Linked DNA regions of Lepisosteus oculatus. The protein of the gene in region 3 interacts with the protein of the main gene of each other region in a pairwise test. Links are inferred from orthologs where the notes say so. Each region holds a gene or a part of one and is shown on either strand. Other genes may lie near its edges. The genes, in order: rbm45, scyl3, txn2 and ppcdc.

Region 1 (7,114 bases), about 22 Mb from region 3:
CTGAAGGCTCTTCTGAATGACAAGAAGAGAGCCTTTAGGGGGGGAGATAAGGAAGAGGTCAAGCGTGTACAGAGGGAGCTAAAGCAGAAGTTAAGAGAGAGCAAGGACGCCTACAGGAGGAAGGTAGAGGACAAGCTGCAAAGGAATAGGGTGAGAGATGTATGGAGCAGCATGAGAGAGATCACTGGCTTCAAACAGGCTGGGGTTGCAACAGAAGGGAACCTGGAGATGGCCAACGAGTTGAACCAGTTCTTTAACAGGTTTGATTCTGGGTCCTCTGTGGCGCAACACCCATCCCCCCACAGCCACACGCTCCCTAACCCTTCACAGCTGCAACTGCCCAACACCTCCTCCATCCCCCCACAAACATGGCCGCCTACAGCTACAAGCCCCGACGGCTGCTCACCCACCCATCCCCCACAGCTGCCACTCTCCAACACCTCCGCCATTAACACCTCCAGCACTGAAAGCACTATGAGCATCATCCCCCGGGCCAGGCTGACCATCACAGCTGACCAGGTGAAGAAGGAGCTGAAGAGGCTGCACGAGGGTAAGGCCACAGGACCAGATAACATCTGTCCCAGAGTTCTGAGGGCCTGTGCTGATCAGCTGAGCGGAGTGCTCCAGCGACTGTTCAACCTGAGCCTGCGCTTGGAGAGAGTCCCGGTGCTCTGGAAGACATCATGCCTGGTCCCGGTACCAAAGAAAGGGCGCCCCTCTGCCCTCAACGACTACAGACCAGTTGCACTGACTTCTCACATCATGAAGACACTGGAGAGGCTGGTCTTATCCCACCTGAGACCCCTGGTCAGCTCATCACTGGACACCCTACAGTTTGCCTACCAGCCCAGTGTTGGTGTGGAGGATGCGATCATCTACATGCTGCAAAGGGCCTACTCACACCTGGACAGGGCTGGCAACACTGTAAGGATCATGTTTTTCGACTTCTCCAGTGCCTTCAATACCATCCAGCCCTTACTTCTAAGGAGGAAGCTGGAGGAGATGCAAGTCGATGCCTCCATGACCTCGTGGATCACTGACTACCTGACGGGCAGACCACAGTCTGTGAGACTTCAGAACTGTGTGTCTGAACTGGTAGTGAGTAACACAGGGGCACCTCAAGGGACAGTTCTTTCTCCATTCCTCTTCACCCTCTATACTTCGGACTTTAAGTACAACTCAGAGTCATGCCACCTGCAAAAGTTCTCAGATGACTCTGCAATTGTGGGATGTATCAAGGGTGAGCAGGAGGAGGAGTACAGAGGACTGGTCAGCAGCTTTGTGGAGTGGTGTGGGGTGAACCACTTGGAACTGAATGTTACAAAGACAAAGGAACTGGTGGTAGATTTCAGGAGGAAAAAGGTCAAACCTACTCCTGTCTACATCCATGGGAGTGGCGTGGAGATGGTGGACTCGTACAAGTACCTGGGAGTGCACATCGACGATAGACTGGAATGGTCTAAGAACATCGAGGCCATCTATAAGAACGGACAGAGCCGACTTTACTTCTTGAGGAGGCTCAGGTCCTTCAATGTGTGTAGTAAGATGCTACACATGTTTTATCAGTCGGTGGTAGCGAGTGCCATTTTCTACGCAGTGGTGTGCTGGGGCTCTGGGATTAGAGCAGTAGATTCCAAAAGGCTGAACAAGCTCATCAGGAGAGCAAGCTCTGTCATTGGGTCTGACCTGGACCCCTTGGAGGTAGTGGCTGAGAGGAGAATGATGTCCAAACTAGAGGCCATCATGGACAACTTCTCCCATCCCCTCTATGACAGGCTTGCAGGAATGAAGAGCACGTTCAGCAATAGTCTGATTCATCCACGGTGCGACAGGGAGCGCTACAGGAAGTCATTCTTGCCGTCTGCCATAAGACTGTACAACGCATCCACCTTGCGTCTTGGCAGAGGCAACAGCGACAGTGACCTGTTTCTGGACTAAACGCATATACACATCTACTGCTACATCTGTTCTCTTTCTTTTTCTTTTTCTTTTTCCCGTTTACAACCACTTTTGTGCAATATATGCCAGGGACCTGTGCAATACATTTATATTTATATCTATGGTTACATCTATATTTATATTCATACGTGTGATACGATTTTCTGTGTACTGTTCTGTTCTAGTTTGTTCTTGTGTGTCCGGACTGTGAGTAACTCTTGTATTGTATTGTATGTATTGTACTATTATTATATAATTCGTTACACTGTGGCTGTGTTGTGTGTGTTAAGCTGCTGTTGCACTGCAATTTCCCTCACGGGATCAATAAAGTATCTATCTATCTATCTATCTATCTATCTATCTATCTATCTATCTATCTATCTATCTATCTATCTATCTATCTATCTATCTATCTATCCATTTTCTAACTGCTTCTCAGGGTTTTGGGGGAGCTGGAACTTGTCCCAGCAGGCAACAGGCACAAGGCGGGGTACACCCTGGACAAGACCATCACAGGCCTCACACAGACACAAACATACACCCTCACACCAGGGCCAGTTTTCCCAGAAGCCAATTAACCTACCAGTATGTTTTTAAACTGGGGGAGGAAACTCAGCTGGAGAAAACTCACGTTAACACGGGATTAACATACAAACTTCACACAGAAAGCACCACAAGTCGGGAATTGAATCCAAGGCCCCAGCGAGGCAAAGGTTAGCAACACTAACCACTGTGCCCGCCACGCTGTCCTTCAGCAAAATGTGTTTTTAAAAAATAGAACCACACTGGTGTACCATTTATAATATAGAATGGGATGGGATGAGTGCTGTCGATTCATGGCAACCCTATGGACAGTTACCCCATCACTATCCACAGAGTTTTCATGGCAAGAGACAGATGTAGATTGCCAGGCCTTTCTTCCACATGGATAGTGCTAGTGTTGTTGCCTTTGTCATGGAAACATAATCCTCCACCGCCAACACCGCCCCATACTGCTGCCCAGTATGGGTTAATAAAGAACCTTGTACCCGACGTAGGACACAAACCCACTACCCTGAGATTATGAGTCTCATGCTCTACCAACAGAGCTAGTCGGGGCTATAATATAAAATATTTATATAGAAACTGAAATTGATGTTTTTAATATAGACAATTCTGCAGAATAAAACAGGAAATTAAAAAAATAGGAAAACATTACCTGTCCAAAGACAAGCCACCTATTCTGCAGGTGATTATATTGATTAAAATGACTACAAATAACTAACTTTTTCATGATTATTTTTTTTTTAAATGGCAATTTTACCAACACATACTAAAACTGAATTAAGATCACTTTATTGGCTACAGTATATACAATTTCTTGATTTAGGAATGTGTCTTTTCGCATACCCCAGCTTGCTCTGAGAGACACACAGACAGGGAGAGAAGCTTGGGGTCAGAGCGCAGGGTCAGCCATTTATACGTTGCCCCTGGAGCAGTTGGGGATCAGGGCCTTGCTCAGGAGCCCACCAGAGTAGGATTCCTCTGCCGGCAGCAGGATACGAACCAGCAACCTTCCAGCCACAGGCGCAGATCCTTAGCCACAGAGCCTTGTGTTTAATGAATATATACATGTATATTATTATACTAATATATTACATGTATATTATAGGCTGTTCTTCATGGTAGAGAATGACTGACTTTTGTGAATTCAGAGGTGACTGGTCAGATCAAAGTGGAACCCTCACTTTGGCAGGTTGAGCTGGTGTTGTCTCAGGACAGAGATATATATTTAGATGTTGTCTGCGGAATCCAGCCAGTGTGCATTCTCTTTGTCACTCTTGCTTTGCTTCCTCCCTGTGGTCTCAGTGCTGGGCTCATCCCCGCATTTTTTCCTCCACTTCCTCAGAGTCCTACCACACCCCAAGTCAGTGTTGCATTTCTTTTCTTTGCTTTTATCATATTTTTGAAACACTTCTTCAGAAGCAATTGTCTTGGAAATGCCCTGGGGTGAAGAGAACCTGTTCTGGGGGGCCTGGAGACCGACAAGAGGAGGACATCACGAGCAGAAGGCCTGTAGAGAAGTAGAGAAGGGTTCACGGTGGTGCTTTCCACTTGATGCATTCCGGATCCATGCCAACAGATGGCGCTATAGAATTTCCGTGGCATTAAAAGAGGAGGTGCTGCGCTCTTGTGGCTGTAAAGGGTTAGCGGCGGCGTGAGGTCTGATTTTTTTTGTTATCCGAGTGATTCTAGGTTTTGGTCTGACAAACGGCAAACCGTAAGAGTGCACATTTCCAAACCAGCCGCGGCCTAAGGTTAAGAAGATGGAAGATTATAGTTTTAGGCCGTCCGTTGACAGTCTCGACGACCCTCCAAACAGCCGCTTGTTTTTAGTGACGAGCAAATCCACTTCTGAAGAGGTGATCCGTGAGCACTTTTCGGTTTTCGGAGAAATTCAAGATATCTGGGTGGTGAAAGACAAGCAAACAAAAGAGTCAAAAGGGGTATCCTTCGTTAAGTTCGCCAAATCGTCGCAAGCATGTCGGGCTATGGAAGAAATGCACGGGAAATGTCTTGCAGAAGGAACCAAACCCATTAAGGTTTGTATATATCAAGTTCCTGGCGTTTTGCATTTGCTGTCTTGTTGTTCAGCACACGTAGCGTCGTTGACAAAATGCGGATGGAATTTCGAGGAATCATGGCGAATGTGACGCTTGCTCTTTCGCCAAACCGTCGAATTGGTTTTATTTATAGTGTATTTCGTATCCCACTAACTTGTATACGTAAACAGTGAAATGCGTGAAGCTAAACTCATAGGCGCTTCGTTAAGCTGCGCTCGCGTTTTCTGGGCCTCGCTCCTCATTTTGCATATAGCCGGAGTTATTGTATATCGTTCAAATACCACTCAAGGCTATCTCTTAGCAAAGTAAGATGAAAGGTTCGTGTAACTGCACCTTTAAACGATTTTATGTCTGCAATTCATTTTGCGTCCTAATCCATTTTCAGAATGGATATTGTGTTTCCCTGATTTCCTGAAATTTGCATGCACTTCTTGCCACTTATGCCTGTTGACGTTTGAGGTTTTCTTTTTAGCTGAGGGGCTGTTATTTGAATTTTAATTTGAAATGTGGCATCCCTTTACATGTCGAAAATGTATTATTTGAACCTACGTTCTTCTGAATCGGTTCTTCTGAACGTATCCCGAAGAAAAGATGTCTTTGTAAATGCAGCCGAACTGGATTACAGCCGTGCTTTGCTCCTTCGCCATCAAAACGTCCAAAATACTGTAACTGTAGTTCTTGCAGATTTATTTTCTCGCACGCGTTGAGCACAAGTTCCTCAGATAGCACATAATTTATAGCTTTCCTAGGTGTTGTAAAAATGATTAAAAAAATGACGGTATTTATAAAAGCTCAATTGAATCTAGATGTAAATATTATACGTATATATAGATTTAAATATGCATTAATATCTTTGTATAGGTGGGGTAGGTTAGTCCCAAACTGATAGTGAAGTTTTTTTTAATCGGATTTAGGGATTTTAAGACGCACACACGCGGTTGTTTTAATTTTGTCCTACTTGATGTGAAGTGACCAGCCAGACTGCTCTGGTATGATGTCACCTGATGGACCAATGACTGGTGTTTGTTATAGAAAGGCCAGGGTGGGAGATGTATGTTATTTTTCCCCGAACAGATAACCATCTCATGTGTGGAAGGACATGTAACAATAGCATTTCAAAATGTTTTCACCAAAAGCTAAACAAATGGGCTTGCATGCTTGGGGTTCTACTGTAAGGTAGCATGCATTAATTTCATTTTTAGTTCTAAGGTATTTTTTTAAATGTAAAAACAAAGAAACAACATTGTCCTGCCTGGCTATTGATTTATATAATACCATTTTTAATAGTGTTTTTCTTAACAATCCTCTCAAAGTGCTTTACAGGTAATGGGGACTCCCCTCCATCACCACCATTGTGTAGCCCCTGGATGATGTGACGGCAGCCATAGTGCGCCAGTACGCTCACCACACATCTGCTATCAGTGGGGTGGAGAACAGAGTAGGAAGGAGAAGCCAATTCATAGATGGGATCATTAGGAGGCCATGATTGATAAAGGCAGGGGGAACTTTGGCCAGTACACTGGATTTAACAGCCCTACACCCCTTGTTGAATGTGTTTGTGTGCAAATGAAAGAAAAGTAAATGGGATCATAACTCAACCATTATGTTGTAGCCTGTTTGGCAAATACCACAGCGTGTTTTATTCATGTTGGTAACCGTTTTACGTTACGTAAAGCGGTAACATGTTCCAGATATTGTTCATTGTGGTTTAATGGAAAACCCTTGTTTCAGCTACATGATCTGTAATGGCTGTAAAGTCATTGAAGAATGTTAACGTGTATTCAACATAATTTTCAAACCGGTGTCTGTAAGTTACTCCTGTGTCCCCTGTTTTAGACTGTCATCTCATCCAGGGTGTACACTTGTCTTGAGCAAGGTGCCGGCTGGGTTAGGCCCTTCCTTAGGATGAGGCAGTTATGGATAATGGCTGCACTGAAAATGGATTTTAACTGTAAAGCGCATTAGCATACAATGCCATTATGTTTAGGGCATTTTTTAGGGTTTAGGGATGCTGCATTCAGACCATTGAGATTTCCTCCGGCATCATTATTTGGAAGAATCTCCAGCCACCACCCGTAGGAAGGAAAAGGATTTTTAATATTTTGAAGCATTGTGTGAATGTGGATGAACATCTGTGTTCAATTAACATAAGGCTGTACCAGTCAGATGTGGTTATGATGGCGTTACTGTGTCATATTGGGCAGCAATATAAAACAATGTACTTATTTACTCATCGGTGTTCTTTTTATGGCTGTATCACAGCTGTGGCATACACCTTTGCACTGCTTGTAGCACAGATTCATTTACAGAGGGTGCCAGCAAACACCTGATTTTCTTTAGGTATTGGGGGGGAAAAAAGTGTTGATTCCACAAGTCAATCCTCTGTTCCAAATCATCCTTTCCACGGTATCCTACTAAGTGCTTTGGAAGAAGAAAATGATGGAGCCCTGGCTTCAACTCCAGCCCTTGCGGTAAATGGTAAAATGTGACCTTCAAGCTCCGGATCACAGTGCAGCATGAAAGTTTGAGCCTTTGAAGTGCTCATTTACATCATTTTTTTATATTGCCACTCG
Region 2 (7,147 bases), on a different chromosome or scaffold from region 3:
ATTTTTAAATTCACCAAATACAATTATTGTGGTTACTGCTAACAATAGAAAAAAAAAGAAAAGCACAAAAAAGATCAACAGATTAGAACTTTCATCAGAAACCAGAATAAAACATAATACATGTAACCTAAACATTTCACTTCTTACTAGTTAACAACATGCACTGTGTGTGTATAGAAATGTGTGTTTTTTTTTAAACATGTTCCTTGAAGTGAGTTCAATTTCACTACAAATTCCTCTTCCTTCCATTCAAAGTTATATTTCCTTCTTAGTTCACCCTCACTTAACACACCATAGGAGTCTCATAACATCCTAGAACCTTATGCACCCAAAGAAACTCATCAGAAATCATAGTTTTACAGATTACCTCTGAGAACACAACTGGATAGTTACCTATAGCAGCAGAGAGCGGATGATAAAGACAACTAAAGACAATAATTAGAACAGCATATACAGGTGAAGCTGTCATGGTTGCTGTTTACCTAAGGAAGCAAAAAAAAAACAACAGTTAAAAAGTGGCTACTCTACAAAAAAGAAAATCACAAAACAAATGCTAATCATTTATACTATAACTAACACTGTTTCTCAAGTTTTTGAAATACTTGTGTGTTCAATTACCAGTTAAATGATCTTTCTATATCAGATATTGATTACAACTATCAAATGCATAATCAATAACGTATCTGTTATTGCATTCTGACATTTTAAATTGGTATAACATTTTACAAACCTTACCTGCCCTTCCAAATAATTTCTTTTCAGCTCAGCTAAACTAATTTTCCTCTGGTGGTTTTTTATATTCTGTATTGTGAGGGGGCTGGATTTGTCTGACAGGGCTGGTCCTTCTTATTAGCTAATCCTGCGCACAGAGCTTCCCTGCAAATACAGGAAGGCATTCTGGACTGCAACCATTTTATTCCTGGTAGTCTTAAGAAACATTTGGAAATAAACCAAGACATCTTTTACTGAAATACCCCCCACGAGGTCACGAGCCAATTCTTCAGTTCTACTAGTATGCTGGTTTAAATATTTCAGGTGTTATATATCCAAGGAGCTAATTTGGACTATATGTTTAATTATTATGTTACTAACATATTTTATAATAAATAAATCCTTACACTTACATAGTGCTTTTCTGGACACTCCACTCAAAGCACTTCACAGGTAATAGGGACTCCCCTCCAACACTACCAAGATGTATTTCCCACCTAGATGGTGTGGTGGAAGCCGTAGTGCGCCAGTACGCTCCCCAGACACCAGCTGTCAGTGAGGATGAGAACATAGTGATGGAGCCAGTTCATAGACGGGAATTATTAGCAGGCCATGAGTGGTAAAGGCCAAGGCGAAATCTGGCCAGGACACTCAGGTAACATCCCTACTCTTTTCGTGAAGCACCCTGGGATTTGTAATGACCATGGAGAGACAGGACCACAGCTTTATGTCTCATCTGAAGGACAGAGACCTTTTTTGCAGTAAAGTGTGACCATCACTATACTGAGGCATCAGGACCCACACAAACCACAAAGTCCAGCAACCTTAGCTTTCCCAGGAGGTCTCCCATCCAGGTATGAAATGTAGTCCCTAATGTTACAAATGATGGTTTGGTGAGGAAAGCAACAACAACAGTTTTGAATGAGTATACTTGAAATACTATGAAATCTTGTTATTTTTGCAGTTTTTAAAAAGATGAGATGAAGTATGCATACATAGATAAAAGGCACATAGTCAACAACAGAAATTGCACGTAATAATATACAACTTTATTTGCCATTCAACAATCTCATTCACTATACATGAACTGCTAGAAATTCCTTCTGCTTTTGCGGTCCCTCCCATTCATTCATCGTTAATAGAGAAAGACACCGTGTTCCTGGGCTGCCCACGACATGACATAATGGCTTGTATGACAAGCACTGCTTTTAATTCTTTTATTGATAAAAACATGTGGAAGATACTATCGTTAGACTCATTTCTGTGGGTCGGAAATTAATTGCTCAATTTTGGTCAGGCCACTTTTATACTGAGGTAATGTCTCCTGAGAATAACCAAGACCCCACCTTTTTGCACATGTTGAAAGAAATGATATTGAGCATTTGTCAGCATCGCTGGATGTAACATATTAAGAAATGTGTAAGTTTGTTCAACATGTTTTTAAATCTTCATGCAGTAGGTCGGTTGAATCTGCCTGACTCACCCGGTAAACTCCAACCTTCGCAGATGACCAAAGATGACTGCATGTCTGATGATTGATTAGACATCATTAAGGGATATTTTTTCATAGCAAGAACAAAAAACACATACGGTTCATTTTTTACACTGAAAAACTTCAGAAGCATAAATGATACCAGAATGGGCTCCATATAGACTCTAGCAAGAAAAAAAAGAAGTCAGCATCTTCTGATTTAATCCTTTTTAATTTATAACAGTATATTGTTTCTTGTATGTATTTAAGGCATTTCTTCTTGTTTTAAATCTGAGATTTACTGGGTCTGACTTAAACGGGTCCTTCAGCCTGTTGTGTTTAAAATTTAAATGTGAACTGTGGTCAGTGGCAATCGTGAATTAAATTACTAGCATTGACAACAAAATGCATTTTAGTAAGGAGTGGAAGCAGTAGTTGAACACAATACGTACTACAACACAAAGGCAGTATTTAAGTAAACATGTAAGTGGCAGAAATTTGATATTAGTGCTAACATAGAAGAGGCAGACGTGTTATAGGTACGAGTTAAACAAATTTGAATGGCCAGATGATATTTTACCAATTGTTCTTGCAAAGAAACAAGATGGTATTAACAGGATATTTGTAAAACAGAGGCAATATTTCAATGACTGGGAAATTGCTAATGCGGTGGCTACCCACTAAAACTAGTAGTTACAAACATTAGAATTAGAACGGATCTACAGTATATGCCTCTCAATATAAATGCGATCGTGCGGTATTATCAAGGTGGAATTAGAAAGGGTGGTTCTTTAATTTGTCTTCGAACAGCCACAGCAGCCATGAATACAGAGTACGTGACTTCCGTTAATGTGCTTGTTTTATGAAAATGAGCGCAGTCATAAAATACTACTAGCAACAGGTGTTTTACTTACGAAGAGGATCGGTAATTTTGCACTGTAATAATAATAATTGCTTACACTTATATAGCGCTTTTCTGGACACTCCACTCAAAGCGCTTTACAGGTAATGGGGACTCCCCTCCACCACCGCCAATGTGCAGCATCTACCTGGATGATGCGACGGCAGCCATAGTGCGCCAGAACACTCAGCACACACCAGCTCTCAGTGGGGAGGAGAGCAGAGTAATGAAGCCAATTCATAGATGGGGATTATTAGGAGGCCATGATTGGTAAGGGCCAATGGGAAATTTGGCCAGAATGCCGGGGTTACACCCCTCTCTTTTCGAAAAACGCCCTGGGATTTTTAATGACCACAGAGAGTCAGGACCTCGGTTTTACGTCTCATCCGAAGGACGGCGCCTGTTTACAGTATAGTGTCCCCGTCACTATACTGGGGTATTAGGACTCACATGGACCGCAGGGTGAGCGCCCCCCTGCTGGCTCCACTAACACCTCTTCCAGCAGCAAGCTTAGTTTTTCCCAGGAGGTGCCCCATCCAGGTACTGACCAGGCTCACACCTGCTGAGTTCAGTGGGATGCCAGATGTGAGTTGCAGGGTGATATGGCTGCTGGCTGTAAGACAGCAAGACATTAAACTGTATATAATACAATTACAATGAATAAGAGGGATTGTTTGAGACAAGAAATCGTGGTTCAATTACAGCTATGAGCATTTATTAAACACAACATCAAGTATCGGTATTGCATGTCTATCCTGGTTTAACCGTACAGCCAAACCAAGTACCTCTCCAAGCTCGAGTGCCCTTGTGCACAAGCACTACTGTGTAAAATCGGCACCGACCATGTTGGTGAATAAGAGAGGTGTGTGATACTCAGTGCATCGACAGTGTGACGATTTAGAAGAACATTGCTTGAACAGGTCCAATTTAATAATATTTATATCGTTTGGTATAAGTTAAAAACCACGTTTAATTATTTTAGTAACACCGAGTTTAACCCACAAAGCTAAAACCACTCCCTTTCCAGAGTTGGTAGAATCGGTTCGCCTGACAGGAAGAACCGGTGTTTACAGTCGAAACACAGGAAGCTCAGAACTGTAAGACGTGTTTGTTAAGTTTTCGCCACCAAAATGGAATTCATTCACCGATTATGAGGCGTGAAACAGTTCAGATCGGCGGCAGTTTCAATGGCGTGACCATCTGAAGTCAGTAGAAAAGCCTGTTAAAACAACAAGGAGGTCTACAGTGGAGTGGTAGCTGAGCAAGTACTGCTCAGAGAAGTAAATATTTATTCACAGGTAACTTAATTCAGTGGAATATGTGTCATATCGAACAATGAAGAATAAACCACACAGTCCTTCTAGTTTGCTTAAATTAGCAGAACAGATGGATAGACCAGACGGTCGCAATACATTTTTCATTTTGTGTAATTTGTTTCTTAACGGGTGTGCAGTGTATTTCAGAATCCGCGGCCATTGCAAAATACACGTTTCCATCTGTTAGTCACCTAACACGAGGGGTTATTAGTATGCAATTTCCGTCTTTGGATTCCAGACCATGCATTTTGCAATCAACTATAACGCCAAAAGGCTCAAATCTTAGTACAAGGAATGAATCAGATCTTCAGAATTGGCACTACTAATCGAACTACTGTTCGTTGAAGATGCAGAAACTCAGATGATCTCTAACGGATTTATTTCGGGTCGACGATGTTTGGTTGATTTAAGTTTTGCAGTCTGAAACACAATTACCTGTACTTCTGCATTTTGCTGTACTCTCCGCATGCGTCTGTGCCACTATTCTATCGGGACTGCATAAAGCGTTCTGTGATGGTGGTCACCAAACTGATGCGCTGCATATAATGACTGGTCGAGGAGTCACTTCATAGTGAAGTTCTTCATAAGAATTTTGCACCTTAACTCAGTATTTGGTGGAAGGATCTTTGGCAGTCATTTAAGTTTGCACAGTGGTGTGGTGTAGTTTTGCCCGGTCTTCCAGGCTTTCAGATACTTTCATCAGTTGTTCATTCCATCAGAGCATCATTAGTCATTGTGCTGGGTGATTGACTGGCAGAGACCGGGAGAAGGACTGCTGTTTCCCTGGGGTGACCATGGGCTCGGACAGCAGCACACTGAAGAGCTGCACCCTGGAGGAATGTCAGCTGAGCCTCCCATCCGGACTCACCATGTACTCTGCCCTCCTAGAAGATGGGAAGCCAGCCTCAGTCTTCGTCTACAGGCCGGACAGCGAGGATAAAGTTAACAAGGCTGCTAAGGTAAGGAGAAGAAGCAGTGAATTGAAATAGGGTAAAAGTGAAGGACAGCCTTGGTCCCTGGGCCCAACAGTCATCCTGGGTTTAGAGGAATTTTGAAATCCAAGACAATTTGTGTGGTTGCTAAGATGATTTTGTCAAAATAAAATGGATAATTGTATACAGTTGTATAAATAATTAGCGTGGTTTTCAAAAGATGGGCACCACTGGGTTAATCAGAGGTGATTTAGATTAAGAGCATCATATTTAGTGAATTTCCAAGACAGACTTACCTTTAAATCTTTTTGTGTCAATTTTGGTTATGGAATCGGAATAGGTTTAATTATTTTGGCTGGGGAAAAGTCATGAATGGCCCCAATTCATGACCTTTGTGCTGATGTTTGCAAACATTAGGATGAACAGCTACACTCTTGACATGCCATGGAGCGCTCATACGGATGAATGTAAGTGTTTACCTGCTCAACTCATGTGGTCTCTTACCTGGTTCACACGGCAGCACCTGAAGACCCTGCGTCACCCCTGCCTACTGCGTTTCCTGTCGTGCACAGTGCAGGCTGGGGGAATCCATCTGGTAACGGAACACGTGCAGCCACTGGAAGCCATGCTGGAGAGCCTGTCTCCAGAGGAGATCTGTTCCGGACTCTACGACATTCTGCAGGCCCTCGTATTCCTTCACGACAGAGTAAGAGTCGTTCGCCTAGCTGGCCACCAGAGATCTTCAGCACACCGAGTTAGTTTGCGCTGGCCGAAAGCACCTTTTCCCCAAACACTTCACTTCCAGGTTGTCCAAGAGAAAATGCTGCACCTTTTCTGATAACTTATCAATAGCAAAAATACCGTGAATGAAAGTTTTAATGACTGTAATTTATTTAAATATATTAGCAAGTGATAAATTACACTAATGACAATGCATACCACTTGTGCAAGAGTTGTTCCTTGCACAGATTTCATTCAAGTCATTAAACAAAATGATTGAAAAAAAATACTTTTCCCTCATAGAGTAATAGCACATTGTATTACTAATTTGTTTAATGTTTTTATCCAGTGTGACTCACAGAGCTTACAGTTGCTTTTTTTACATATAAACCTTGGTGACCGTGTACACAGCTGGGTTTATGGGAGTGACATGGGGTAAAGTACCTTGCTCAAGGGTACTGAAGCAGTATCCTCACTTGGGATTTGAACCTGCAACCTCCAATGGGGAGCCTTAACCACTACTCCACAGTGCAGTGCTGTACCAATTACAGACACAAGAAAATATATGTAACTGTAGAACCTAGGAACAGTTTTTACACATGCTGACTTAAAAAGTAGTCTGTTTCACAAAACAATCACATGTGACAACATCTCAGTTTTTTCGTCCGTGCTCTGGTAACACACTCCTGCCTGGTGTGGGGATTTCTCCTTTTATCTGCCTTTAACTGAACCTGGCTTGTCTGTACTTCAGGGTAAATCCAGCCATAACAATGTGTGCTCGTCATCAGTCTTTGTGAGTGACGACGGTCACTGGAAACTTGGGGGGATGGAGACCGTCTGCAAGTTCTCTGAAGCCTCCCCTGAGGTGAGAAATGTTTAGACTGTCCTGGTGGATTAAATATGTCTGTATGTACCTTTGCAGCTGCATCAGCTTAACCCCTTAACATCTGTTGGGCCACAGGTACATTCATTTTTGGTAACGATTGTGAATTGTGGCCTTGGGATGAAATTAAGTGTGATTGGCATCCAATCACTTTCCACCAAATGTAGGGCCTATCAAGATTCCAAAAGAACTATTACTTCATTTTTTAGTTGT
Region 3 (7,102 bases):
GGTTGCGCCACCTTTAACTGCAATGACCACAACAAAACTCTTCTTATAATTCAATATCAGTCTTTCACATCGCTGTGGAGGAATTTTAGCCCACGCCAAATTAATCAGACTTGGTTGCGCTGCACTCGGAACCGACTATAATTAAGATTCACACTCAAACCCCTTGCCCTCTGCTCTGAGTCCTGGCGACGAGAGACAATCTCCGTGACTTTGCCCGGCTGCTGCCTGAACTTTCTGCGCCCCACACTGGGAGAAACGCGCTCCTTCCGCTTAAGCCTTAAAGGCAACTCAGCCTCATACCCTGCACCTCCAGTACCGATCGATTAATGCCCGACATCAATTAAACTTTCCCGCAACAACTTACCGTCTCTCTGCTCTCTGCACTCTGCGCCACCCGGAATACAATCTGGAGGCACACTTCCGGCAAAACCGAGACACCGACGCGCTGTCGTCACAGATAACCCAGAATTCACTGGGCTCGCCGCAATCTCAGTACCAATTGTTCAAGTCACGATGTCATTCTGCTGTTGTCATTACAAAAAAGGAGCATTAATAATTAACCTTGTAAATAATTACTGAACTATAAAAATACATTGTGTGAAAAGTTACAAAGAGCAGTATTATGAAGTTCATTATAGTAATATAGAGCTGAATTGCACAACTTTGTGGGCAGGATCCAGTATGTGGTACAGTGTGAAGACTTATGATACAGTATAAAGGAGTGAGATACAGTTTGAAGAGAGTGATACAGTATAAAGGAGTGAGATACAGTTTGAAGAGAGTGATAGATAGATACTTTATTGATCCCGTGAGGGAAATTGCAGTGCAACAGCAGCTTAACACACACAACACAGCCACAGTGTAACGAATTATATAATAATAGTACAATACATACAATACAATACAATAGTTACTCACAGTCCGGACACACAAGAACAAACTAGAACAGAACAGTACACAGAAAAATCGTATCACACATCTGAATATAAATATAGATGTAACCATAGATATAAATATAAATATATATGTATTGCACAGGTCCCTGGCATATATTGCACAAAAGTGGTTGTAAACGGGAGAAAGAAAAAGAAAAAGAAAGAGAACAGATGTAGCAGTAGATGTGTAGATGCGTTTAGTCCAGAAACAGGTCACTGTCGCTGTTGCCTCTGCCAAGACGCAAGGTGGATGCGTTGTACAGTCTTATGGCAGATGGCAAGAATGACCTCCTGTAGCGCTCAGTACAAAGGTAGTGTGATACAGTTCATTTCTTCTGGGTGACCAGAATGCTAGGCCCCTGAAACACCTCATTTGTAAATACTGTACATAGAGGAACTTGTGTGTTGTATATTTTGTTGTGTGTATTGTAGTTTGTGTCTTGTGATCATTAATAAATATTTGTTTAACCAAGTGTGCCTGGATTATTATTCCTCTCACTATAGTTGTACCAGAGAACAACAAATTCACTTGCCTCTAATTATACCAACTGTTGGGTTATATTCTGGAAAAAGCACTTACAAGTTGGGGGTTATGAATAATTATTTTAATTATTGACTCAACTTGGTCATAACCCCCCAAGAGTACCGTAACTACTGGTTGCTTTAACAGTCATTTTATTATTATTTATTATTATTTACTTAATATTTGTTTTTGTCTTTTAGTGTGATGGACTACAGTTCTGTTATTGTTGTTTTGTTTCTTTTTAATATAGGAACTCTTTTAGTTATTTTCTATTTTTCTTTAATATCATTTTAACATTTGTTTTCTTATTTTAATGTCCTTTGCTGTTAGTTGTCTCACTGTTACTGGGGTTAACTTTTAATGAAGGACATGGCAAAGTTTTTTTTGCTTTTATTATTAGTTTATTTTAGTTTTAAAACCTGTTATTCTTCTGTTTTAATAATAATAATAATAATAATAATAATAATAATAATAATTGCTTACACTTATATAATGTGGAGACCCCATTACCTGTAAAGCACTTTGAGTGGAGTGTCCTGAAAAGCGCTTTAGAGGTAATGGGGTCTCCCCTCCATCACCACCAATGTGCAGCCCCACATGGATGATGCAACGGCAGCCAGAGTGCTCCAGTCCGCTCCCCACACACCAGCTCTCAGTGGGGAGGAGAACAGAGTGATGAAGCAAATTCATAGAGGGGGATTATTAGGAGGCTATGTTTGGTAAAGATCACAGGGAAATTTGGCCTGGACACCAGGGTTACACACTACTCTTTTCAAGTTAAGACCTCAATTTATCTTTTCATCCAATGGACAGCGCCTTTATACAGCATAGTGTCTCTATCACTATACTGGGCCATTAGGACCCACACAGACCACAGGGTGAGCGCCCCCTGCTGGCCCCACTAACACCTCTTCCAGCAGCAATGTTAGTTTTTCCCAGGAGGCCTCCTATCCAGGTACTAACCAGGATCACACCTGCTGAGCTGGCAATCAAGTTGGAAAAACACTGAGCTCTGTGAGGACACTAGTTTTCTCTTAAATTAGGGAATTTAAAATTGGAAGACTAAATAATGAAAATGCTTCAGGCAAAAGCTGAAATCTGTTACTTTTTTTCACCACTTTAATGACCCCTCTGCACATGATGAAAGCAGTTATTGGGGACATTTACAGCTTTAGGTGACTGAGAAGTGTTTCTTGGATTTTAGATGACCTTTGTGACACTTGGCAGAACAAACACTTCTAGCTTCAAAGCAGAGTGGATTTTTGCTGAGGTACTGGGGGCTCTCTTGAGCACAAACAATTGTAGAGTTTACCTTAGTATCCCTAGGTAAGTAATGGGTTAATGACTGTCAAGGAGCAGTACAGACAAACAATATAAACTCACATTACTAGCACACAGAAGAAGAAGAAACAGGAAGCAGGGCAGGAGTGGAGAGAAGAGTCCAGAGGAGTTGGGACTTGAAGCTTGCACCAGGCAACCTCAGCTAGAAACGTTTAGGGTGCATTTTTATGGATAGGGATATAGGCTCCCACTTATTTTGTGGCACCTGGGGTACAGAGAGAGAGAGATTTAACCTCAGGTTGCATTGTATTCAGTTAGAAAGCAGCTTATCTCGTATGTGGCCTCTGTAGGTATTAAGAGTTTAATGCTTAGTACCAGTCTGTGGCTTTCTGGGTGACCAGAATGTTAGGCCTCTGAAACACCTTGTTTAGTAAATACTGTACATACTGGAACTTGTGAGTTGTAAGTTTTGTTGTGTGTAGTGTAATTTGTGGCTTGTGATCATTAATAAATATTTATTTCACGAAATGTGCCTCAATTATTATTCTTTTAGTTGAGCCAGAAAACAACTGTGCCTCTAATTATACCACTTGCTCTGTTCAATTCTGGAAAAAAACACCTACAAGTTGGGGTTCATGAATAAATACTTTACTTATTGACTTAAGTGCTTGGGCAGATTTTCACCAATTTTCATAAACCCCCAGTATATACACAAGTGTGTATCTGAATGTGTACATTTGTGTATCTGTATGTACACAAATATGTGTATGTAGACATGTGTATGTACACAAATGTGTATGTATGGAGAAAGAGCAAACTGGAACAGGAGCTGCAGTGTAGAGTGTAAATGGATCCCGTGCTTGAATACGTAAGGAACTATATTTTTCCTTAATTGTTACAATCACCCACTTTTGAATCTTTTGTTTGCTTTTTACATCTTCTACAAAGCAATCTCGTCATCTTTGATATCTATAGTGACTTTAAAACCAATATTACAGAATTCAATTCAATTCAGTTCAATTTATTTTTTATATAGCTCCAGGTTGTACTCTAGAAGTCCAGATCTTCTGGAAGTCTGATTCGGTCCAGGACATACTTTACCATTCTGGATCCCATGGGAGACTGATCCGCTCCGGGATTTACTCTACCAGTCCAGATTGCATGGAAGTCTGATCCGGTCCGGGTTTTACAGTTCCAGTTCGGGTATCTTGGAAGTCTGATCTGGTACGGGTTTTATTCTTCAAATCTGGATCCCATGGAAGTCTGATCCGCTCTGGGATTTACTCTACCTTTCCGGATCCCAAGGGAGAAAGTACTGCTCCAGGTTTAATCCAGCTATAAATTTGGATCCCATGGAAATCTGATCCGCTCTGTGTTTTACTCTACCAGTCCGGATCCCTTGAAAGTCTGATCCGGTTCAGGTTTAGCTCTATTAATCCGGATCCCTTGGAAGTCTGATCGACACGAGCCCACTCCTCTTCCCACTGCTTACACCCCTATAACAAATAGTTTCAGGGTATTCAAGTACAGGATAAAGAGATTACAGGTGTTCCCAATTGGCTGAGGATACAACTCTCTCTCTGAGAAAGCACACAGAGGTGGACAAAGCAATTAAATGTGTTTACAAGTCATTTCCTCTGTTTCTGGTCTTTCTTTACATATCAGAAAAGTGAACTGGTGGCTGTTGGAAAGTGTCTGCTCCGTACGTAATATACATGTAAAAGATGTGATTAAATATCTTGGTATTAAGACTTTCAAAAAGGTGATTTTGTGATTTGATGTTCTCTACCTTAGTAAAATAAAAAAAAAACTTTATTCATGGTTGCTATTTGTCAAACACGGGCAGAAGGAGGCCTAAATGCTACAGGGTTTAGAGCATCTAATACCGATACCGACAGTATTATTTACAAAATTAAGCAAAGTAGGTGGTGTATGTTTCCCTAATTTAATCATTCAGGAACTAGGTATTGATGCTTTTAAGAAACTAACAGTAGCCCATCAGAAACTATGGAAGAATTTACAACCTTTATTAGACTACAAGGAAAACAATTTAGTTATACTTGTACTAATAAATACTTCAGATCCCTCTCGCAATCTCACAATATCTTGTCAAACTATTTTGGAGCACCTCTTTGGGGAAAGTGAGTGGAATCAAACATGACTATTGTCAAACAGATTTTGTATGAATAATAAGGTTAAGGCGTCAGTACAAAATTGTACATTGAATCGACCCGGTAAAGATACACAGTGTGCATAGATTTAAAAGTAATATAGATGATAATTGTCTATCTCAAAGCAGCCCAGAAACCTTACGTTTGATTTTGTTTTTTCTGTTGTTAAAACACTCTGAACAGATCGGTAAAATGGTGTAAAGAAGGCTTCTAATTCTGACATTTCCTGTAGACAAATTGATGTTATTTTACTGCTCAATACTGCTGAACCGAATCTAAAATATAATGTATCATTGGCTTAATCATTATACTTGCTCGTTATTAGATGTAGAAATAGCCTAAAGATGAGAAATAATCGAAAATTGAATAATTAGACCGTATGTCGTAGTAGCAGAGTGTACTTCTCGCCTACTTGATGTGGTCGAGCAACTCCACAATCGCCATACAATCCGTCCGTTCTCATGCTCTGACTTTCAGGTTGGGCAGTGGGATGGATTCCAGGGCAAACTCGTTCTTGTTTGATTATCCGTGTGAAATCTCGCCCAATATAACAGGTAAGCTCATGCACTGAAATGATGCGCTTCCAAATTAAAGCGACACGCATTTGAATAATTCAAAATACACACGAGGGAACGTCTCCAAACCATGTCTAAGTATCACAACATGAAAGCTGTGCGTACCTTATCTTTATTTGACTGTATAATGTACTCCAGTGATCTGTAACGTAGTCTTGCGTGCATCGTAAAGGATCCGGATTTCCGGCTACGGAAAACCCGGAGTGGATCAGCCTTTCCACCGGACCCGGACTTCCGGCTACGGAAAACCCGGAGTGGATCGGCCTTTCCACCGGACCCGGACTTCCGGCTACGGAAAACCCGGAGTGGATCGGCCTTCCACCGGATCCGGACTTCCGGCTACGGAAAACCCGGAGTGGATCGGCCTTCCACCGGATCCGGACTTCCGGCTACGGAAAACCCGGAGTGGATCGGCCTCCCACTGGATCCGGATTTCCGGCTACGGAAAACCCGGAGTGGATCAGCCTTTCCACCGGACCCGGACTTCCGGCTACGGAAAACCCGGAGTGGATCGGCCTTTCCACCGGACCCGGACTTCCGGCTACGGAAAACCCGGAGTGGATCGGCCTTCCACCGGATCCGGACTTCCGGCTACGGAAAACCCGGAGTGGATCGGCCTTCCACCGGATCCGGACTTCCGGCTACGGAAAACCCGGAGTGGATCGGCCTTCCACTGGATCCGGACTGCCGGCTACGGAAAACCCGGAGTGGATCGGCCTTCCACTGGATCCGGACTGCCGGCTACGGAAAACCCGGAGTGGATCGGCCTTCCACTGGATCCGGACTGCCGGCTAAGGAAAACCCGGAGTGGATCGGCCTTCCACTGGATCCGGACTGTGAGCAGCTTTTGTCCAATCGGCGCTGAGATTTCAGCAGGAGGCGGGAGACAGGCTCTTGTCCAGTCACACAGCTTCAGTCCCGGGACTTTTCCGAATTCCGGCGGGCGGTGACACTTCCGAGAAATGTCCACTGGGTGGCGACAGAGATACACGGAGCTGAGTCTCAAAGCGCTATCGGAAAGACTTGAAATCGGAAATACATTTGTTACGTTTTAATCCCATTGAAAAGGAAGATGAAAATATCGTTTGTATTTTAAAACATTATTATACTTGCGCAACATAATTATTAAGGGAATGGTGTGAGAGGAGACCGTGTTTGAACAGTTTAAGACGGATGTAAAGACATTTTATTTCAGAATGTCTTTCTGAAATGTGTCTGTTTCTGTGTTGTAAGAACGTTGAAGCATGGACGGGCCTTATCTGCATTTACCTTGTTGAATCTTTTTTTCCATAAAATGTACATGTATTATTGCATGTACCCTGACAATACGACTGGTACGTTACGTTTTCTTGTAGTTTTTGGTCTCATAAAAAATACAAAAGTATGAGTCGATGACGTCAAAATGGTGTCGCCCACAGGGCTTATGGGTAATGTAGTCTCTGTAGTTCACTGGGCTGCCCTGCCCATGTGTTTCGCTGATTTCATTGAACATTAGAATGAATTATATTGATACAATTTCAGCGTATTTATCGTGTCTTGTATTTCTTTGTCTCTCTTATGTGTTCCCTTGTGTGTATGTTTTCTTGTATTTCACTTGTCTGCGGCGCTGGTTAATCG
Region 4 (7,945 bases), on a different chromosome or scaffold from region 3:
GGAAAAAAAACATTCTGGGACAATGTTCCAGTAAAAGACTAGGAGTATAGAAGGCATCGGTCTAAGAGAACTGCTAGAACACAATTTAGAGTGCTTTGTGATGGAAAAACTATATAAATGCATTCCTTATCATAAAATATTTACAAAATCTGAAAAACTCCTACAGTACATCCTACAAATCCTCCAGCAGAGGATAACAATCACTAGCACTCTATATTATACTAGCAAAGCTCTTTAACTCCTATTACAGCTCAAATGTGCACAGTACTACAAAAATATAAAATGCTAGAAGTAATTTATGGCAGCATTCAGATCACATGAAGAACAAATACAGAATGCAAGTAACAAAATTACTTGAAAGCTGGGACATGTAATAACTCTGCTACCTTGAACTGAGTTAAAAATTCAGTTAGATATCTTTAGACACATATCTACAGTAGGAGCAGAGTATCTACACAGTAGTCATACCAATCCATGGGAACAAAGTCACCCAGGTCACCAGCAGGACGCATATAGCTTGAAGAAATGAAGTTTGCTAAATATAGTGCCTTCTTAAAGGAAGGTTTGTCAGGAATTCTCTAATGCCTCTCTGTGTTAAGGGCAAACAGTTATACTAATTTTTTCTTAGAATAATATTGATGTCATCAGATATATATATTCCATGTGTACACTTTTGTCAAAACACGTTCTGCTACTCAGACGATACATTGCTATTTTTTCATAATCCACTGCTCCATTTTCAGCTCTCTTCTGGAGGACAACACTTAAAAAACTGTTAGGATGTGGATTTGAAATATTTTGCAATAAACCGTTTATACAAAAACATTCTACAACATTAGATATTTACACAAACACCAAAGTAGGTCAAAGATCTTCTTAAGGCAGTTATGTTTATTTGCAACATTAAAAGCTGGCAGGTTTCTACAAGCAATCACATATATGCAAAGGGTGCTATTCAAAATATTTCAGAGAACACTTAGGGCTATGTTTAACAGTCACAGAGATTCAGGCTTCCTTGGATTTCATATCTCAGTTTAAGCAATTCTCTCATCTTTCTCCGGGTACTTACATATTTTACAAGCACACTTTGAGACTTTCACATGACCAAGGCTTGTTTATGGCTCAATCATCAGCAACTGGGCTACATCCCAGATACGTGTTTCACAAATGGGTCTCAGCAAACTCACATTTAAATACATTTGTTGGATAACGGAAACTTAAATCAATGTCTTAACTTTGAAGTTGGAGTTAATAGTGTATACTTCCATGTCCAACAATGTTAGGCTTTATTATATAGATAAATTCAGCAGCAAGGGAGCCCTCTCTGAGCTCACAATTCCATGCGCTTCCATTCCTGTCTGATACAACCATAAGCAATTACCTATATTGTTGAAGAACAACAATGCTACTGGGGTCTTCCCCATTACTGATCACAACTGTGAGAGAGCTAAGGCAGGTTATTTTCATTAAGATCTTTGTACAAACCACAGAAATAAAGTTGGCTATAGTTTACTGCAGATTTTATACCCTTGTCAAATGATAAGACTAAAGTAAATTTTGAAGGCTGCACAATAAATCTTAACATGTTGTTTTTTCACTTTTTTAGTCCAATGTATTGCGTTTTTCACTTACATACACTACAACTGAACTACTGCTTTTAAACATAATCCAAGTGACTGAAAGTTTCTGTAAATGTACAAGGACATTTGTACACAGCAGAAACTTGTTTTCAAATGCTGTGCATGTACTAATCTCACATATTGGCTGTTGTCTATCACCCAGGTGAGTGATACACTTAAGTGGTGGATGAAGTGGATCCTTTAATATACTGTATGTAAAATGGTTTTGGATCCTTTGAAATGTAATGTGCTGTATCAATTAAATTACCCTTACTGAAATTTATATGGATCTATGATACATTGAGTGTACAAACGTTCTGTGTTTTAAAATCTGGATATCTTGCTCATTGCTCAAGGTCAACTGGAGTCTACTGTCATAACTTTAACAAAAAAGATGAGGTTAACAGCACAGCTATAAAACTGTAATAGTATTATTTCTAACATATCACAATTCCAAGAAAAAATAAATGTTTTGTCAAATATTGCACCAACCCACAGAAGACATGTTTTCACTATGGTAACTGGATTTACAGTACTGTCAGGAATGGAGGTTACAGTATACAAAATACAAGATAAAAGCTTTTCATATACTGGTGACCTCTGTTCTGGCAAACACTGTTGCAAAATATGGAACTGCTATCTGCTAACGTTGTCTGTTTGTAGTTGCTGAACAGTATGTATAGTCAGCATGAATTAATTCTGCATATTTTACTTCCTTTTTCCTGAATATAGATAAAAGCTCCACGTAACACTACAGCAACACCCTTCACTACAGCATTATATTATATCTGATAACACGCCTTGAATGTAGGATGTCATTACGTTCTTACAATGTAATTTTTAATATTATATCATACGACTTTGACATTGTGCTAGATTAAGCAATGCATTGTTTTGACACGTAATGCAACTGAGATCTTAATTAAGCATATACATATTTCAAAAACAACACATAAATGATTAGAAAAAATAGACTAGAGTTCAGGGCAATATACTGAAATCAGCTGTCTTTAAGCAGGAGATAAGAATCGTCCGTACCTATATGTTTTTTTTTAAATCCTATGTTGTCATCAAGCCATTTAGAAGAATCTACTGTAAATCGGAGTGTTGAATCACTCGTCTTGTTCGAAATGAGTCGGCCAACAGAGGTTATCTTCTTGCACTATTACACACATCAATTCCTTACTATGATGCTTGACACATTATAGTATACAGTACATCCAACGGTGGAAAAGACAGACGAAATGCCATAAAATGCATGAATGTAACTGACGTTTATTTACGCTGTAAATGAACACGTTTCTCTGTAATTCACCAGCGACTCAAGTGTGTCGGAATGACCTGAAGAACGAGGGCCTTGATTTACTTAGGCTTCCATTGGATGCGTAAAATAATCGCCTTACCTTCTTCTCTGTCCAAACAAGAGTACACAATGCAGTGTTTCTTACTGCATTCTATATTTTTTTCGGATGAAATACGGAAACTCCAACTTATACTGAATAATGTCGGATTTGAATCAATTTGGGGAAACCTTATAGATTTTTTTTTATTGTATTTTTCCTGAGACCGTGGGTGTAAAAATCAAAACCGCTGTCCAGTCGTCCTATCCCGTTCCCCGTCTCCACTGTCACTGCTGCAACGGCCAACAGACAAGCGTGCTCAGTCCTCGCGAGAACTTCCCACTCCGACATCCGTGCAATCGCTCTCCACGGTACTGAAGTGATTGGCGAGATACCGTGTGATGGAAACCTAGGTCACCTTAAGTCATCGAGCTACGCATTTTATCATAATTTAGACGGAATTAACAAAAAAAAAGAATTGGAATTGAATTAAAAATAACACTATACAAGAGTCACGTTTATAGCCTCTTCCCTCTTCTTGGTGTACGATACCTTATGAGTCTAGGGGAATTGCGGGATCACTGTTTTGGTGGGAGGTGCTGTGGAAAGTGTGTTTATGATGAGGGAGATGGGAAGTGTTTTCTGTAAGAATGGATGATTACGGCTTCAGCAACATACGTTATAATAATATTTCGTTGTCCATAGACGACATTTATGTTTCATGTCAGTTTGTTATACCGTTGCATCTTTGTGTTTATTGACTGTACCATGATTTTGTTTCCTCCAGATTATCTTTTTGACTGAAACGCATCAATTCCATGACATAATATACGACACCATAACAATTAGGAAATTCTTATAAAATATACTATTCACGTTGGCTTACCCATGTTTCTCTAGCATTTTCTTACACATACAGAAGTTGAAATGTAAAACATCCAATTCAGGGTCATCAAATGGGCTACGTTATTGGGTTCAAGTAATGTTCACTGCACATTTAATATGGCTGTGACGTGTTATGGTTATGGTACACCTATGAACCTTTTTATAAGATATTTGAAATCACATGTTTCAAAATCTCTTCCAAACGGTTTTCTACCACATACATTGTATATTATTTTAAATTATGCTGTATTTTTTTATTAAAATAAGTAACTATATTATCTCATTACGTTTTGGGGACATTTAAATTAGTACAACGTAAGCTTCTGTTACCACTTTCACTATGAGCGTAGATTTTTTTTTACATAAAACGTTTTCAGTAGTTTTATTCTGTAACTGAATGCATGTCTTTCTCTTTGTAGAATCAGTTCTTATCAAGGAACCTTAAGTGTCCCTTAAGTGCAGACCGAGGCTGTAAATGTTATGGATCGTAGTGTTTCAAATATGCCGATTTATGTTTGAAAACAAATCAAGAAATAATGCTTTTTTCTTTAAATCCGTAAACTGAGAGAACACTTACGGTTTATTCCTAATGAATTTGTCCTGTACTTCAGGACAGCATATTTTTAATTTCATATACTGAGGAGAATTTATATTTCCAAAAATGATCAGGTATACCGAATGCATACACATTTTTAATCAAAGTCCATGTTATCTACGCTAATCCCGAAGGTGTTAGGAGAATTACTAACACATGTACAACTTTGTTAGTGCAGAGGGGAAAAATGCAATAAAGTGCATCTACTACGTTTTCCACACAAGCGTGGAAACCTCCTCCACAACGTCACCCATTCTTTCGGTTCTCAACTTCCGTCAAGTCTCGCGTATACCAATATGTACAGGGGGGTTCTTATCTAACTATTAAGGTTTATTTCCAGATTTGACTAAATCTGTGTAAATAAATTATTTAAACTTGAAATTCAAATATTAAATGGTAATATTTTGATTTCATAAAACATCTCCAAAAGTCAAAAATAAATATCGTTCAATGTCCATCATTGCTCCTCGTTATTGGTTTCTTCGCCGTCATTTTCCGGTTTACACCGGCAGTGTTGAGGAAACAGGCATGCATCGGCCAGCTGGAAGCGTACTTTGTACAGAGATAGATTCAAAAACTGACACCGTTTCTAATTTTCGTGTCTTGATTGGGGTAACTGGTAGCGTAGCAGCCATAAAATTACCGTTGCTGGTCAGAAAACTTCTAGAATTACCTAGGGTAAGTAATAGGTGTGATGCGTGTTGTAATCGCACTTTTCTGGGGACTTGTGTGGTTGTCTTTTTCCTAGAAAATAAAGTACTTTTTGAAACCATATAGCCTCCTTCATTTTTTCGGTTTATGAATACTGTTTTTGTTGAGGTATTGAACATGCTAAATGCTATTGCTAAATTTGGAATGTAAAGTTGTCTTTAAAATATCTGTGAAACACTCTTCAGACACTATTATAGTTAAATGTAAAAGTTCACCACTCCCGAAATAAAACTAAAATAATATCAGATTTCCAAGAAAGACCCGGATATGTAGGTTACTGAATAACGATTAATTGTATTAATTTTTTAAATATCATTATAAATAAATCGTCACTTTTCCAACCTATTGCATTTGTGATCTTATTCACTTCTACACTTTTATTTTGCTCTGTCCTGATTGTCAATGCTGAACTTAGGTCTTATTGAATACTTGTTCAGATAATGGAAAGCAAGATTTTATATCAGTTAGAAAATAGTCCCAACTCCAGTTTAGTCTGGTCTCTGTAAGATTTTAAGATGTTTATCATTAAATGAGACTTAGAAAACCTGCTGGGCTTTGGCTCCAGATGACCGGAACTGGGACCTTCTATTTTAGAAGATGATACCACCATGTTTGCCTTTTTGCAAAAAAACTTAACAAACCCAACACTGAGGCAATCCCAAAAATGACTTATTAAGGTTTATTTTTAGGGAGCTGATATGTCTCTCATATGCCAAGATGTTAAAATGTTAAAAACTTATATTGGTAATATTCCTCTAAGTGGACTCAATTTTTGGGAGTGGGTTTTTAGGTTTGCAGTATTACCTGAATAACCCCTTTCTTTAAACCTTACATATCCTCATAGTGTTTTGAAATCGACCGGTCTAAATACATGCTAAACAAAAAGAAAATGTGATTGTCAGCATGAATTTAAATTATCTTATTTCATTCAGTAAAAACTGAGGTTTACAAGTTTATTTCCATAATACAGTGATGACTTGGTATCCATCATAGGTAAATATGGCTAGTTTCTAGGGAAGAATATACAGTTAACATGGAATATGAAAAGTTATATTTTTATGAAAATGTCAAATGTCTTTACAGAATCTTTACAAATGTTATGTTTTTGTTTGTTCAGGTGCACAGCCTCCTTGTGTGGTCATCTGGAGTCTGTATTTTGAATTAATTTTAGGGGATTGGGTTCTCTTCTAGCATTTAAGTTGTTCATAATTCAGCAATTTTACATTATTCAGCAATTTTACGTTACAGTAATTTTATGTCTTGAAATGGATACAAAACTAGAGAGATTGAAGCCTTATGTAAAATATGGATAAACTATGTTCAGACAAGCATTTTTCATTGATTTTAATCTAGTAATAAAACACATTTGTCAACCTGCTTTGGTTGTATTTGTGTTTGAAATCCACACCTGTGAGTTGCAAATTAGTCTGACTATGGTCTGTTGTAGGGTAAACTAAAATGTATTTCCATATATGAAAAGTGAAACATGAAAGTTGTATAGTGTGAAAATTTGTCCTCTTTAAATTAGAGAACCAATACAAAAATAGCCTTTATGTAAGATAACTCTTGGAGATAAACACCTGTAACTACCCCAGGCTTACCCCAGGCTTCTCTCCCCGTCTGTGTGTCTGTGTCTCATGGAGACCAAGCTGGGGTATGCGAAAAGAGGAATTCATAATGCAAGAAATTGTATAGGACAAGTAAAGTGATGTTTAAAATGGTGAAGGTATCCCTGTGACATTAGTTGAATCAGAGAAAAGTATGTTAGAGCTAATAGTATTGCCATAAAGGAAAAAAAACTCTTCTTAGTGGAGTGTATTCATTTCTGCTTTTGGAGGGTTGTAAAAGTCAATGGAAACTCAGTATTGTAGAGATTCCAAAAGTCTTGGATCAGTTCTGAGGTCTTTGTAATAGGCATACTTCAAAACTTAAATTTCAAAAGACTTCACAGCCAATATCTTGTTTAATTTCTTTTCCTTTCAGCATGGAATAAACCTTTACCCGTTCCTTTGCAGCCTAGGCATGCTGACGTTGCTACCTACTCAAACTTCAAAACTATGCTGGAGAGCCAAGCAGAGAGGAAATATGTCTCCTCGAACTTTAACATTAAAGCATATATATTGCTGAGTCCCTTTTACACATCAGTTGCACCAGTGGCTAACCTTTTATGTTACCCAGTAAAGAATGGTATTTTGTGTCAGGAAGAAATGATACATTAGGATGCCAGAATGCCCAGCTGCTTAAAATGTCAAATAGTTCTTAGAGTTATACCCTGGTCAGCTTAAATAGTGATGTTTACTGCAACTCTTACATAATTGTTCACAAAATATGGACATGCTGCTTCAAATACAAATATTGGCTTATCTTAAAAAGTCTGATTCAATATTCATTATTTTATATTCCATAACTTTGGATACTGTAGAAAAGTGCAATGTTGACATGGTGTTTGATCTCTATTTTGTCTAGGAACATTTTTATTAAAGGCTATTTACAGCTAAATGTAGGGATAAAGGTGTGACACTTTGTTTCACGAATTCTCAAACTTCTCAAAATAAATGTAAAAAATCAATTTTTATAGAACCTGTGATAGAAATCATTCATGTTTTTGCTGGGGTTTTTGCTTTATTATGTTATTAAAACTAAATGTATTTTAGGAATATGTGCACTTTATTATGCATGAAGGATTTCAGTAATCCAGTATATGGCTTCCTTGGCAAGTAGCATTTGCAAGACCGATGTTAAGACACTTAAGAAAGCTGAAATAATTAGCCAATGTTATCTGATGTGATAAAGGC

Evidence for each region.
Region 1: the proteins of txn2 (region 3) and rbm45 interact in binary tests that used the Homo sapiens proteins (3 or more experiments, as listed by UniProt). The two-hybrid records come from large-scale screens. The link is inferred for Lepisosteus oculatus from reciprocal best matches to the Homo sapiens genes TXN2 and RBM45.
Region 2: the proteins of txn2 (region 3) and scyl3 interact in binary tests that used the Homo sapiens proteins (3 or more experiments, as listed by UniProt). The two-hybrid records come from large-scale screens. The link is inferred for Lepisosteus oculatus from reciprocal best matches to the Homo sapiens genes TXN2 and SCYL3.
Region 4: the proteins of txn2 (region 3) and ppcdc interact in binary tests that used the Homo sapiens proteins (3 or more experiments, as listed by UniProt). The two-hybrid records come from large-scale screens. The link is inferred for Lepisosteus oculatus from reciprocal best matches to the Homo sapiens genes TXN2 and PPCDC.

The regions. Positions count from the first base shown.
Region 1 is NC_090707.1:17,836,220-17,843,333, forward strand, and holds the start of rbm45 (RNA-binding protein 45), read left to right. Parts: upstream 1-4,114; 5' UTR 4,115-4,244; coding exon 4,245-4,520; intron 4,521-7,114. UniProt on the Homo sapiens protein: RNA-binding protein with binding specificity for poly(C). May play an important role in neural development.
Region 2 is NC_090704.1:8,501,696-8,508,842, forward strand, and holds the start of scyl3 (protein-associating with the carboxyl-terminal domain of ezrin), read left to right. Parts: upstream 1-4,143; 5' UTR 4,144-4,381; intron 4,382-5,118; exon of another isoform or gene 5,119-5,156; 5' UTR 5,157-5,193; coding exon 5,194-5,358; intron 5,359-5,851; coding exon 5,852-6,037; intron 6,038-6,802; coding exon 6,803-6,916; intron 6,917-7,147. Other genes in the region: prg4b (proteoglycan 4b), read right to left, coding at 394-469. UniProt on the Homo sapiens protein: May play a role in regulating cell adhesion/migration complexes in migrating cells.
Region 3 is NC_090707.1:39,758,216-39,765,317, forward strand, and holds the start of txn2 (thioredoxin, mitochondrial), read right to left. Parts: upstream 3,005-7,102; 5' UTR 2,842-3,004; intron 525-2,841; 5' UTR 365-524; intron 1-364.
Region 4 is NC_090700.1:51,226,879-51,234,823, reverse strand, and holds the start of ppcdc (phosphopantothenoylcysteine decarboxylase), read left to right. Parts: upstream 1-4,942; 5' UTR 4,943-4,967; coding exon 4,968-5,117; intron 5,118-7,945. UniProt on the Homo sapiens protein: Catalyzes the decarboxylation of the cysteine moiety of 4-phosphopantothenoylcysteine to form 4'-phosphopantotheine and this reaction forms part of the biosynthesis of coenzyme A.